3 linked regions of the Notamacropus eugenii genome follow. The protein of the gene in region 1 interacts with the protein of each later gene in a pairwise test. Links are inferred from orthologs where the notes say so. Each region holds a gene or a part of one and is shown on either strand. Other genes may lie near its edges.

The links.
Region 2: the proteins of MID2 (region 1) and SYT17 interact in binary tests that used the Homo sapiens proteins (3 or more experiments, as listed by UniProt). The two-hybrid records come from large-scale screens. The link is inferred for Notamacropus eugenii from reciprocal best matches to the Homo sapiens genes MID2 and SYT17.
Region 3: the proteins of MID2 (region 1) and SPG21 interact in binary tests that used the Homo sapiens proteins (3 or more experiments, as listed by UniProt). The two-hybrid records come from large-scale screens. The link is inferred for Notamacropus eugenii from reciprocal best matches to the Homo sapiens genes MID2 and SPG21.

Annotation. Positions count from the first base shown.
Region 1 is NC_092879.1:28,913,342-28,917,086, forward strand, and holds the start of MID2 (probable E3 ubiquitin-protein ligase MID2), read left to right. Parts: upstream 1-1,315; 5' UTR 1,316-1,422; intron 1,423-3,745. UniProt on the Homo sapiens protein: E3 ubiquitin ligase that plays a role in microtubule stabilization. Mediates the 'Lys-48'-linked polyubiquitination of LRRK2 to drive its localization to microtubules and its proteasomal degradation in neurons.
Region 2 is NC_092874.1:400,151,286-400,155,030, forward strand, and holds the start of SYT17 (synaptotagmin-17), read left to right. Parts: upstream 1-1,565; 5' UTR 1,566-2,503; coding exon 2,504-2,518; intron 2,519-3,745. UniProt on the Homo sapiens protein: Plays a role in dendrite formation by melanocytes.
Region 3 is NC_092872.1:127,366,882-127,370,626, forward strand, and holds the start of SPG21 (maspardin), read right to left. Parts: upstream 2,418-3,745; 5' UTR 2,282-2,417; intron 1-2,281. UniProt on the Homo sapiens protein: May play a role as a negative regulatory factor in CD4-dependent T-cell activation.

The sequences.
Region 1 (3,745 bases):
CTGGTGTAGCTGGATCAATGCATGGAGGTGAAAAAGATTGGAAAGGTGGGAGGAGGCCACAGTTGGAAGGGCTTTAAATTGTAGATAGAAGACTTTGTCTATGCAACTATGACCCAGGGAACCTTGAATATCCCTACAACAATTCTTGGGAAGCTGTGAAGTCAGACCTGTACTATCCTTGGGATGCTGAAGAGGGAGGAAATCGAGTCCAGACTGGGAGGATTTTTTTTTCCCCTTTGCCTTGGAGAATCAGAGTTTGTAGGTGAGTGGATTGGCACATTTTATGATATGTGCTCATTGTTTCTTGGATGTTGACCACACTTTTTACCAATGTAATTAAACTGTTTAACCATGGCCTTGAGGTCTGAGTGACTGAAAGATGCTGTCTTTGGAAAGCACAGGTGTGGCATTGAGTAAGAATCAGGATTGAGGTGAGAAGTCCACTCCTAACAGTAAAGGATAGAGTGTTGGGTGATGGACAAAGGACTCATCCCAAGTACTGTGGTAGATGGGGAACGGCTGGTCACCGATTTAGGCTTAGATAGATTTAGATCTGGAAGGGACCTCAGAGGCAATCTATTTCAACTGCCTCCACATTCTTCTCCATTTTACAGGAAACTGAGACCCAAGGAGGTAGAGTGACTTGCATAAGTAGTGCCGGGTGGTATTTGAACTTGGGGGTGGCGGGGAGAGGTCCTCTGAGCCAGGGATCTTGGCTGTTATCAGCCTGTATTGGACACCTGTTACACCAGAATATCTAGCTGCACCTGCCCAGTTGTACCCATGGTAACAGCTCGGTTGGTTTCATGGTGGAAGACAGCGATTGCCCTTGTGTGACTCCGCTCCTTGTCCACCAGCTCGGCCCCGGGCCAACAGTCCACTCAGTACCATTCTCCCTTTGTGAAAAGATAACGACGGGGCTGGGTTGGGTTTCCTGCCATTCTTTGCCCCTGTCTGCGCAGTCCTTGATTTCTGTTTTGCTCCGGGGTGGTTTGCGTAGAGCGCCTTCGTCTGTGGACGTGGGTGGCCCTGGAGAGCTGGCCTTTCCTTGGGCAGACAACAAGTGTCGCCGGCTGTTGTGGTTGGTCTGTTTGCGTTGGGAACAGGCGGGGCGGCTGGGGATCAGGAGGAGGGAACGACAGAGTGGGGGGGGCGGGGGTGGATGGGGGGGACGGTGGAACAGGAAGGAGTTTGCACACATTTCTGCCTCCGTCCGCATTTCGCACGCTGCCGAGGCTGTCCAGGACTGTGTCTTTCCAAAGCCTGCAGAGGCGCGCGCGCGCACGCACGCTCTCCTCCGCCCTCCCCCGGGCCGGGGCGCGCGCACAGACACCCGCACGCTCCCTCTCCCTCCACCCGGCTCAGTGGGTCTCTTCTTTCAAGATGACAGGACGGAGGAGGCCAGGCTGCTGGAATCAGCTGGTACGTAGGGGAGCGCCCTGGCCGGCCGGGCCTGAGCCCGCGGCTGCCCGCCGCTCTCAGTCGCTGGGTCCCTGCCCAGCTGCCGGGCTGCTCTCGGCGCTTTGCGGCGGCTCTGCGCTGCCCGGCTGCTCTCCGCGCCCTGGCTCGCCCTGGGCTGGCGGAGCGCTCCCGCTCCTGCTCTGGCTCCTGGCAGGGAAGGAAGCGAGCTAGGGGCGCCCGGGGAATGGGCAAAGGGGGGAAGGCAAGGAGAGGCGCTGGAGCGCCTGCAGGTGAGCCCCGTGGGTGGGCGGCCGGCCGGCCGGCTGGGAAGGCGCTCTGGCCCGCCTGGAGACAGGGGCACCCTTGCCCAACTTCGCCCCGATGGGCGGCGGCGGCGGCGGCGGGAGCTTTGGCCGTGGCGGCAGCCGGGCGAGTCAGAGGGAAGGGTAGGGAAGGAGGCCAGCGTGCGCCCGGCGTGCCCGCTTGTGCCCGGCTCCTGCTTCCATTCCTTAGGGTGGCCAACGCGGCCGGCAGAGGGCACGCCCCCTCGGGGCTTGCTTGGGCGCGTTCGCCTTGACGTTCCCCCCTCACTCTTCCGCCTAGTCCTACCCCGCACCTTGTCCTGCCGGCCGCTCTGCCTGTCCTGCCGTCCCGGCCCTGCCCTGCCCTGCCCATCCCAGCATCAGGCGATGGCGCACTGGCTGGGGGAGGAAGGGGGGGTTAGGGGGGCGGCCCGGGGAAGGGGGGCGCTCTGTGGCTGGCCAGGAAGGGGACCTTGAAGATGGCAGGGTGGAAGGGGGGGCGGGAGTGGCTGGGCCTGGCCCTTTGGGCCTGGCCACTTGAGCCCTTCCTTCTCTATTTCCCGCGGATGGCCCTCTGTGAGACTGAAGTTTTTGCTCTTCCACTCACCCAGAGTTTTCCCCTCTCCACCTAGCCCATTTATCCTTTCCCTCCCATTCTACCTTCTCTTTTCAGTGTCTTTCCTTGGTTCATGTGTGGATGGGTGTATTTGTGAGGAGGAAGGTGTGTGTGTTGGGGGGGTGGGGGGAAGATCTATATGAAAGCAGTGGGATTATGTATGTATGTATGTATGTATGCATGCATGCATGCATGCATGCATTCTATTGGCTCTTATTCCAATGGTGACCCAGCTGAGCTGAGAAGACTACCTATTCCACCTTTTCCTCTACCCAGTGTTCCCCTATGGAGGAGGGGTGACTGGCCCAGGGAGGGTTCTTTTATGGCTTTGTCCCTCTGCCGGGGGCTGAGTGTGGGTAGGGGTGAGGGGGGGGTAGGAGCAGTGTCTTTCCTGCAGCTGGTGATTTCAGCCTTCAAGCTTCCTTTCCCTCTCCCACCCTAAGCCTCTGCTGCCCGATTCCTTAGCAAATTTTCAAAGGGGATCAGCAGTTATTGGCTCCTCCATGACTCACAGGCTGACCAATTAGTTTATTAGAAAAATATGATGTAAAGTGCCCCCGATTTGTTACCTGGAGTCTGTTTTCCAGGTTGTCATTCAGGTCTGAAAGGTGAGAAAATAAGAGATTTCATCCCAGTTGGGATGCCATTTTTGCTTTGTGACCTCGGGGCAGTTGTTGAGACCTTTCTTTTCTAGGATACCCATTTATATAGTGGGATAATCATTTTTGCCCCAATATTGTGAAATTTAACTTTATTCTTGAAGAAACAGTCTGCTTCAAAGGACAGAAAATTGGGTTTCCACTCAGGATCCTTAATCTCAAACTGAAAGGGGCCTCAGGGCTCATCTCCAATATCCCTTTCATTTTACAACTGAGACCCAAATCGATGAAGTGACTTGCTCAAGGTCTTAAATAGCATCACAGGTATGATTTGAATATAAGTATTCTGACTCCAGAATTAGTGTATCGATTCCTTCACAAGATGGAGGACCTGGGATTAAATTCTTACTCTAATGCTTTATTACCTGTGTGACCTTGGTCCAGTCCCTTCCCCTGCCTAGGTTTCAGTTTCTCCCTCTGTAAAATGAGGCATTTGAACTCAACAGCCTCTGAGGTCGTTCCATGTTTGGACTCTTCCACTCACCCAGAGTTTTCCCCTCTCCACCTAGCCCATTGATCCTTTCCCTCCCATTCTACTCTTCTTTTGAGTGTCTTTCCTTGGTTTGTGTGTGGATGGGTGTATTTGTGAGGTGGAAGGTGTGTGTGTTGGGGGAGGGAGGAAGAGATCGGTATGAAAGCTGTGTGATTATGTATATATGTATGAATGCATAGTTCCAAGGACTCTCTGGGTCACCTTGGACAGGTCACTTCATCTTCCCTGGGCCTCAGCTTCCTCCTCTGTAAAATGAGAGGGTTACACTTGTTGG
Region 2 (3,745 bases), on another chromosome or scaffold:
ATAAATATTTTTGTACATGTGGGAGGTGGTCCCTATTCTTAAGAAGCCTACATTCTAAAAGAGGAAGACAAAACATAAAGAAGAGCTGAAAAGGGAAAATGAGAGGAAAGTATCCAAATGGAGGGGAATGAGGAAGAGGTAGGCAGCCAGTATGGAGGTGGAGCAGGACAGAGAACTAACTGGAAGTGAAGAGTGTGCATAATGGTTGGCTTTTGTGATTATATGTTGGGTTCAGGCTGAGACCCAGCAATCACGGAGTTGACCAGGGAACTGAATCATCCCAAGGGAGACACACAGGCACTATGAAGGTGGAGCAGGCTGGAGTGGAGAAAGTTTCCTCTTATCTTCTAGAGTCTGTGAATATGGCATGCTCTGCCTAGAGAGATGCTCTCACAGGAGATCAAAAGAGGAGAATGCTACATGGCCTGATGGGGATGTTCCAGGGGAGAGACAGGAGACTGGGCAATCCCAAAGATAAACAATTTATTTCACAATTCTGTTTAGAATTAACCTCACTTCTATCTGTTATCAAGAACTCCAGGGTGCAGTCATATTCCTATCTCCTCACCCCAAGTACATAGAGAATAAGCCCCAAGCAAAACTGTGAATTGGGCATTTGTCTCACCTTTCTAACATTCTCATGAGCAAGCGCCAGGGATTCTTCGACTCCCTGCCCCCTCCCCCCAGGCTCTTCTAGCCCGAGATGCTAAACCAATTTTCTTAATAATGGTAGCATTTCCCAAATCGTCTTTCATAGAATCCTAGTTGTTCCACAGGACGCTAATAATGTTTATGTGAGAAAACTTCAATACTAATGAAATTTCCCCCTCTAAACTGTGAAATAATGTATATATAAAAATAAGCATTATGTGCAGTAGTTTGGAGAATAAAAACAGACTCAATTTTCTCTATGCCCAATCACACCTCTAGAATAGCATTTGGGGTTTCATCAATATATTTCAAGCACCAAAGTGGTTTGTGAAGAAATTAGTTTGGGAAAACTAATTTAAGATATTAGTGGCTTTGCACTAGGCGCAGTTTAAAAGAGATATTGGGTGAGACCAATCTGGAATCCAAAATAAAGCAACAAACTAAATTGCTAAAGATGAAATTTCAGACATTGACCTCTGGCTGGGACACACACACCTACGTACACACATACATTTAATGGGGGTGGGTAGGAAGTGGCACAGTGGGCATCCTCGCACTTTTGCCCCCATTTTTGCTGTGGCCAGCTTCTATATTGCCTCACCTTGACCCACCTTTCAAAGATCTACCCTCCCTCTCCATCTTTTCCCACGCTGCCTAGGGCTCCTCCGAGGCACAATGGGCCCGGGGTTACTTTGTAACTTCTTATCACTCTCCCTGCGGCGGCTCAGGCTAAAGGCTGGCCGCTCCTTTCTGAAGCCGTGTAGCGTTGCGCCCGTTGGGTGGCGCTGTTGGACCTCTTTGCACCCAACCTGTTGCGCCCTGGGAACACCAACTCTTTTGGACTTGGGGAGCGCCAGTCACTTTGGGGCCCTGGCGGGGCCCACAGCCTTTCCTTTTCCCTTGCGACTTTTGGTCCCTCCCATCACTCCTGCTCTGAAGCTTTCCTCTCGGTGACCTCTCCGTGCCATCTGGCACTTTAGCGCCTCGCAGTCCTTCTGTCACCCCTCCTGGGTCCTCCAGACTCTAAGAGGTTTCAGATGAATGCAGAGGAGACGAAAGTTTTTATTCCTCAAGGTCGGGGAGAGGGGAACTGAGCGAATTCATCACTTTGGGGCCACAGCCCCTAAATGTCACTTAGACAATTCCTAGGCAGCACCGACGAGGCCGGGTTTCTGTTAGGCTCCGCGACAGGTGCAGGCTCCTAGGACACCCTGGGCATCACTAACCCTCCCCCGCTCGCCCCCGCCCGGAATATTCCCTTCTCCGTCCTCTTTCCCTATCCCCACCCCAAAGTTCTGCTCCTTCTGTCTTCAGATGGCACCCGTTGTGGAGCCTTGAGCTTGGGTGCCCGGTGACCCCGGGGCTGCCCTGGTCTTAGTTATCAGGGGGGCCCAAGCTCGGGGCCCTCTGCGTGGCTGGCTGGGAGCCCCCGGGAGGGAGCCGGTCAGAGGCCAGAAGGCGCCTGATGCTCCTGGCGCCGCTGGCGGCCGAGACCAGAACGCAGGGAGAGGAAGAAGGCAGAAGCGCCCGGGGGGGCGGGGGAGAGAGAGGAGGGAGTAGGGCGCTGCTGGGGCGCGGGTCAGGCGGCCCCCTCCTCTGGGCTCTCTCTCCGCCTCTAGGGCACCCACCCAGGTCCGAGAGCCCGGGGGCAGGACCATGAAGAGGAAGAGACGGGGCGGCCAGCCGAGCGGAGGGCATGGGCGCCACTGATCAGCCAAGCAAGTCACGTCTGGGGCCATTGGGTTGGTTTTTTTTCCTCCCCCCCTGCTTTTCCTTTCTTCACCTCCCTTGTGGCGGAGGGCAAAGTGGATGTAGCAGCGCCATGCCCGGGCTGGAGTGAGAGCGAGTGAAAATGGCGTATATACAGGTAGGGCCGTGGCAGGAGGGACGTGTCCGGGCCGGGCCGGGGCCGGGGCCGGGCGGGGATGGCATTGGCAGCTTGGGGCCGACTGGGTGAGGACCAGGACGGCTAGCCCTGAGTCTGCCAGCTGCGCCCCGCCGGCTCCTCGTGTTGCCCTGGGGCTGGCGCTCAGCCCCGCGCGCAAGAAACTTGCCAAAAGAACGGGGGAGGAGGGAGAGAGGGGAGATACTGGCAGTTTGGGGATAAAAGGTTTCAAAGAGGCAACCTGTTTGCGCGGGCTCTCGAGCTGCCCGGGAGCGTTTGGTGGAGACCAGCAGAGGCTACTGAGGCTGGGGCGAAGCCGACGTGGAAGGGCAGTGGGAGCGCCGCACTGGACGGAGAGGGGGGATGCGGGATAATGTCGGGGTGAGAAGGATAGCTCAGGGTGAGAGGCCCTGGTTACCGCAAGAAGACTGTGGGTTTGCCCAGTCTGGGTGAGACTGGCCTGGGGTGGGGCGTGGTGCGATATGGGCGGGGCAGGAAAGCTCCTGGCACCCACAGAGGACCCACTCGGGTATCTGCCTTGCCTTGTCTTTAGCCTCCAGCAGTGGGAGCAGCTGCGAGTTCCGAGCTCCAGCTGTGGAGCAGTGGGGAAGGGGTAACCTTTCCCCGAGGCCGCAATGGGAGCCCGGGGGTGGGGGCAAAGAGGGAGAAAGGGGTGGGGCTCTAAGGAGAACGGCCCGGGGCAAGCGGCCAGCTGCAGTTACCGTGGTTACGGCTCCGGCTAATTAGCCGCTGAAGCGGGGACGTGCAGCTGTTTGGCGAGAGGGACAAGGACATCTCCTTTCCCCCTAGGCTTGACTGCTAAAGAAGCAGGGCTGGAGGGACGAAAATGATTTGATGGTTGGACTTGAAAGGTAGGGTGGGGAGGAAGGACAGTGAATTGTGTGGTAGTAATGAAGGTGAGATCTATCAGAGAAGTGTTAAAAAAGATTTCATGAGGTAAGAGGGTTAGGAGACCTGGAAGACGGCCTTTGACTGAGATCAGTTCAAATCAGGCCTTTTAAAGGACCCATGATTGGTTCAGGGGCCTTTATCCCCCAGAGGGCTTCAGGTAAGCCCCAAGGTCATGAGGATGCCTAAAGCTTTCTGGCATTCTCACGAATGCAGAGAACTATAGAATGTAACAGTGGAGAACTACAGTGGAGGAAACTGAGACCCAAAGAGGGTGAACGACTTTCCCAAGGTCATAGA
Region 3 (3,745 bases), on another chromosome or scaffold:
CCAACAAAATGTATGTGACTCAAAAAGGTAATTAAAGCTGGATATTCTTACATTAACATTTCATTCTCAATCGAGACACTTGCCTATCATCTCAATTTGATCTCAAAGGGTAAATTAGGACAGGACATGAGAGAGTTTGCAAAAACAAAAAACCCAAAGAGGTTATCGAATGCATAAAGGTAGCCATTAAAAATTTGTAATAAGCAAAAGAAATTTCATTCTGCTTGGATTCATTTCTAATTCTTAAGAATGTATATTTAAAGGTGAAAAAAATCCATCCCCATTCCCCAACTACAATCTTAATCCTTTGGGCTAGTCATTTTATCAAAATTAAGGCATCTGGCACACTAATTTTTACCTGAATGGACTCAAGCTACTGTCATTTAAAAAAAAAATCTACTTAGTTTACAATGAATTTAAAGTTCCATTACAAAATTACATTACAAGAAATAAACTGTCTTTTCTGAGAAGGCAACATTCTAATCTTGCTTAGGAATGGAAAACTACTTATTAGATTTATAAAACTGATTTTAGATAATTTTAGATAATAAGATAATAGATAATAAGGCCAATAAATGAGCTTTCCAAATCACCAAACTGAGAACAAAATGAGCTCTTAAGTTTGGAACTGCAAAGACACAAAAGGCAGAAAAATATGTATTTACACACACACTGACATCATACCCATCCTTAACTTCTTTCCCAAAGCATATCATAATCAAATATACATATTATAAACAAAAGATGTTTCTTACCAATATTTCTTGGTAATGTAGAAAAAAATTATTTCATTTTAACTATAGACTTCTAGACTTAATGATTCCCTGGACAGGGACTAAATTACCGCTCAAGGCAAGTTATGTTTAACACTTGTGCTGTTCTGGCAGTATACGAAAGGTAAGAGATACCAAGTGTTGATTGAGCAACTGACTGCTTAGTGAAAAAGCCTCACAGCTGGGAGAAGAAAACAGCTGGGAACTAACAGGGTGAAAAAGGAAAGTTTGTTCTCAAAGATCCTTTTCATCCCTTTAGAGAGGGTTTAACTTTTCCAATTCACATGGGGGATAAACTATGAGCAATGAAAGCTTAACAGTCTGACCACGCTGGTTAGGTTTAATCAGCAAAGGGCACAAATCAAAACATGGTTAAATTTTCCACCACTTAAAGGGAGAAAAAAGCTCTTTTCCATTTCCGTAAGTAATGCACTACATTTTTAGTCCCAACCCATGCATGTGTAAACATCAAAGCTTCCGTTTAATCCCAGATTCCTCCGATACCTATCCCTTAACGATGCTTGGCATTTGTAAGAGATTTCAAGATGATGAGCACCTGCCTCCTTGGAATCCAAATAATGGTTTTCAGCTTACGTGAAGTGAAATGTCACTGTCCTCACTTGCAGTTCAAGTCCCTTATCCTAGTCTATAGGCCATGACTACACCTCGTGAATAAAGCCTGTATGTGTAAACTGACAGTGACAGCAAAAATAATGTTAATAGGAGAGTCTCGTTTTTCGGGGGGCTCCTGGCAGACCTGCCAACCTAACTAGACCAACGTCAATGGGCCAGAGTCACAGCCAGGGAAACCTTCCCCCCAGTTTTCAGTAAATCCATTTTCACATCTGCCTCCAGCCTTTCTGCAGCGACTTCAGGCCGTTTCCTCTTGCTGTCTGGCCCGGGGGAGGCAGAGCGGATGGCGTGACAACCCCCGAGGCGTCGCACACGGCTACTAAGTTACTGCTCTGCGAGTCTCCAGGAGTAACAAAGTATCCAGCAGAGGCAAGGCGGCCGCGGAGGGCGCGTTCTGCGGGTCGGGAACATCCCCGCACGCGAGCCGCTCCAACCGGCGATTCCTGCGGCGCCCGTCCCACCCGGGCCGATGCCCCCGCCCGGAGCAGGTCGTGGAGTCGGTTCAACCACCACCGGCGTCTCTACCAGCATTTCCTGCCTGCGTGCCCCGAGGCACGAACCGCAAGCTGGGAAAGCCTCCCCGGAGGCCGTGTCTGCACGCACAGGACCAGCACACGGCACCGCAGGGTCGGGACCTGCCCTGCAACTTACGGTCTCGGGGAGTCGCGAGGGCCTCAGGGATTAAGGGACTTGCCCGGGGTGTCGGAAGCGGGACTCGAACCCGGGTTCTCTCGCACTAAGGATGCGGCCCCGCGCGCCTCCCCCGGGGTCCCCAGTCCCAGACCCGCAGCGGGGGGCGCGCCCCCCCCACCGTCCCAGGGCCATTCCCACGCCGGCGCCCCCGGCCACACCTCCCGCAGCCCGGGTTCCCTCACCTGCCGCAGGCCGGCCCCCGCTTCCCTCCCCAGCCCCGGCTTCTCGTGGCGAGCCGCCGCGGACCCAGGCCGCGGATCTGCCTCGGCGTCCGTACCCAAGGCCGAGCCGACAGGCAGGGCGGGGGGGAGGGGCCGCCTCCGGGGGTGGAGCGCGCAGCCGTGCGGGCCGGACCGCGCTCCGCTCGGCGCCCAACAGTCCCGGGCCGCCGGGCCGCGCCGCTTCCGGGGGCGGGGCCGAGGGCGGGGCCGCGCTGGGCGGGGCGTCACGTGAGGCGGAAGTCCGCGTGGGGTGGCCGTCGTCTCCATAACTACGGAGACTGCGGCGGGATGCTCCTGGATCCCGGGCCGTTGGAGCCCTGCCGCTGGCGCGAGGGAGAGACTGGCGAGCTTGGCCTCCCCGGCCGCGTGGGAGCATCAGAGTGACCGGCCGTCTGACCGGACTCTGGGGTGAGGCTGGGGCAGCGGCCCGGGATGGCCCGTGCGGACTGCCCGCAGCTGGCCGCCAAGTCGCTCAGTCTAGCCCTAGGTCTAAGCCCCAGGAGGCCTCGGCCTGTCCCCGAAGTGAGCGCCCCGCGCTCCTGCCGTCCCCCCCAAACCACCCATCCCCCCACGCTTGACAGGGAGTGTTGAAGAGATGCCCTGTGGGAGCAAGGTTCCGAGGTGTGATGCTGGAACGCCCCGCCTAGGTCTGGTCCACCCCCCCATCCAAGATCCAGCGGCAGGTGGCTGGAGCCCCGCGCCCCCCGCCCTGGCCCCGGGTCTGGCCCTTCCCGCTGCGCTCCGCCAGCTAAAAACGTGGCCGAGTTCCTGACTCCGCATTCAGATCTCCAGTCTGAAGTGACGGGCCAACCAGAGGACACAAAGGCACTGTGCGCCCCGCAATGTGCCACCGTACTTTGTGTGAAAGTGAAGAACTGGGAACCGAACACGTGCCGAACACGTGCTGAACTCTCGGCAGGTGCGGCTTCAGACGTCAGCGCTCACCTGAAACCAGCGGGCCGCTCTCCGTCCTCATTGTCTCCTTGACAGTCTCTCTGTGTCTCGGTGCTCTCGCCGTCTGAGTGCTCCATCTCCCTCTCATTTAGGGCAGGTCTGCTGACCATGAGTGTCCCTGAAGACTGCCCTAGGTCCTCCTCTTCTGGATGATTGGGCTTGATGATCTCAACTCCCGTGAATTTCCATGCAGATGTTTCTGGTATCTGTTTGTCCAGCCCTAACCTCTCTCCTGACCTCTAGTCTCTCATCTCCAACTCCCTATTAGGCATCTCTGACTAGAGATCTCAAATTCAGCAAGTCCAAAATCTTCCCCCAAACTCTCCTTCATTCTTCCTAACCCTTATTACTTACTGCCAAGAGTACCATCATTCTCCCAGTCACCCAAGCTTACAACCCTGAGGTTATCCTTTACTCCTCACTTGTCTCTCCTATTCAATCAGTTGCCAGGTCTGGGCATTTCTACATTGG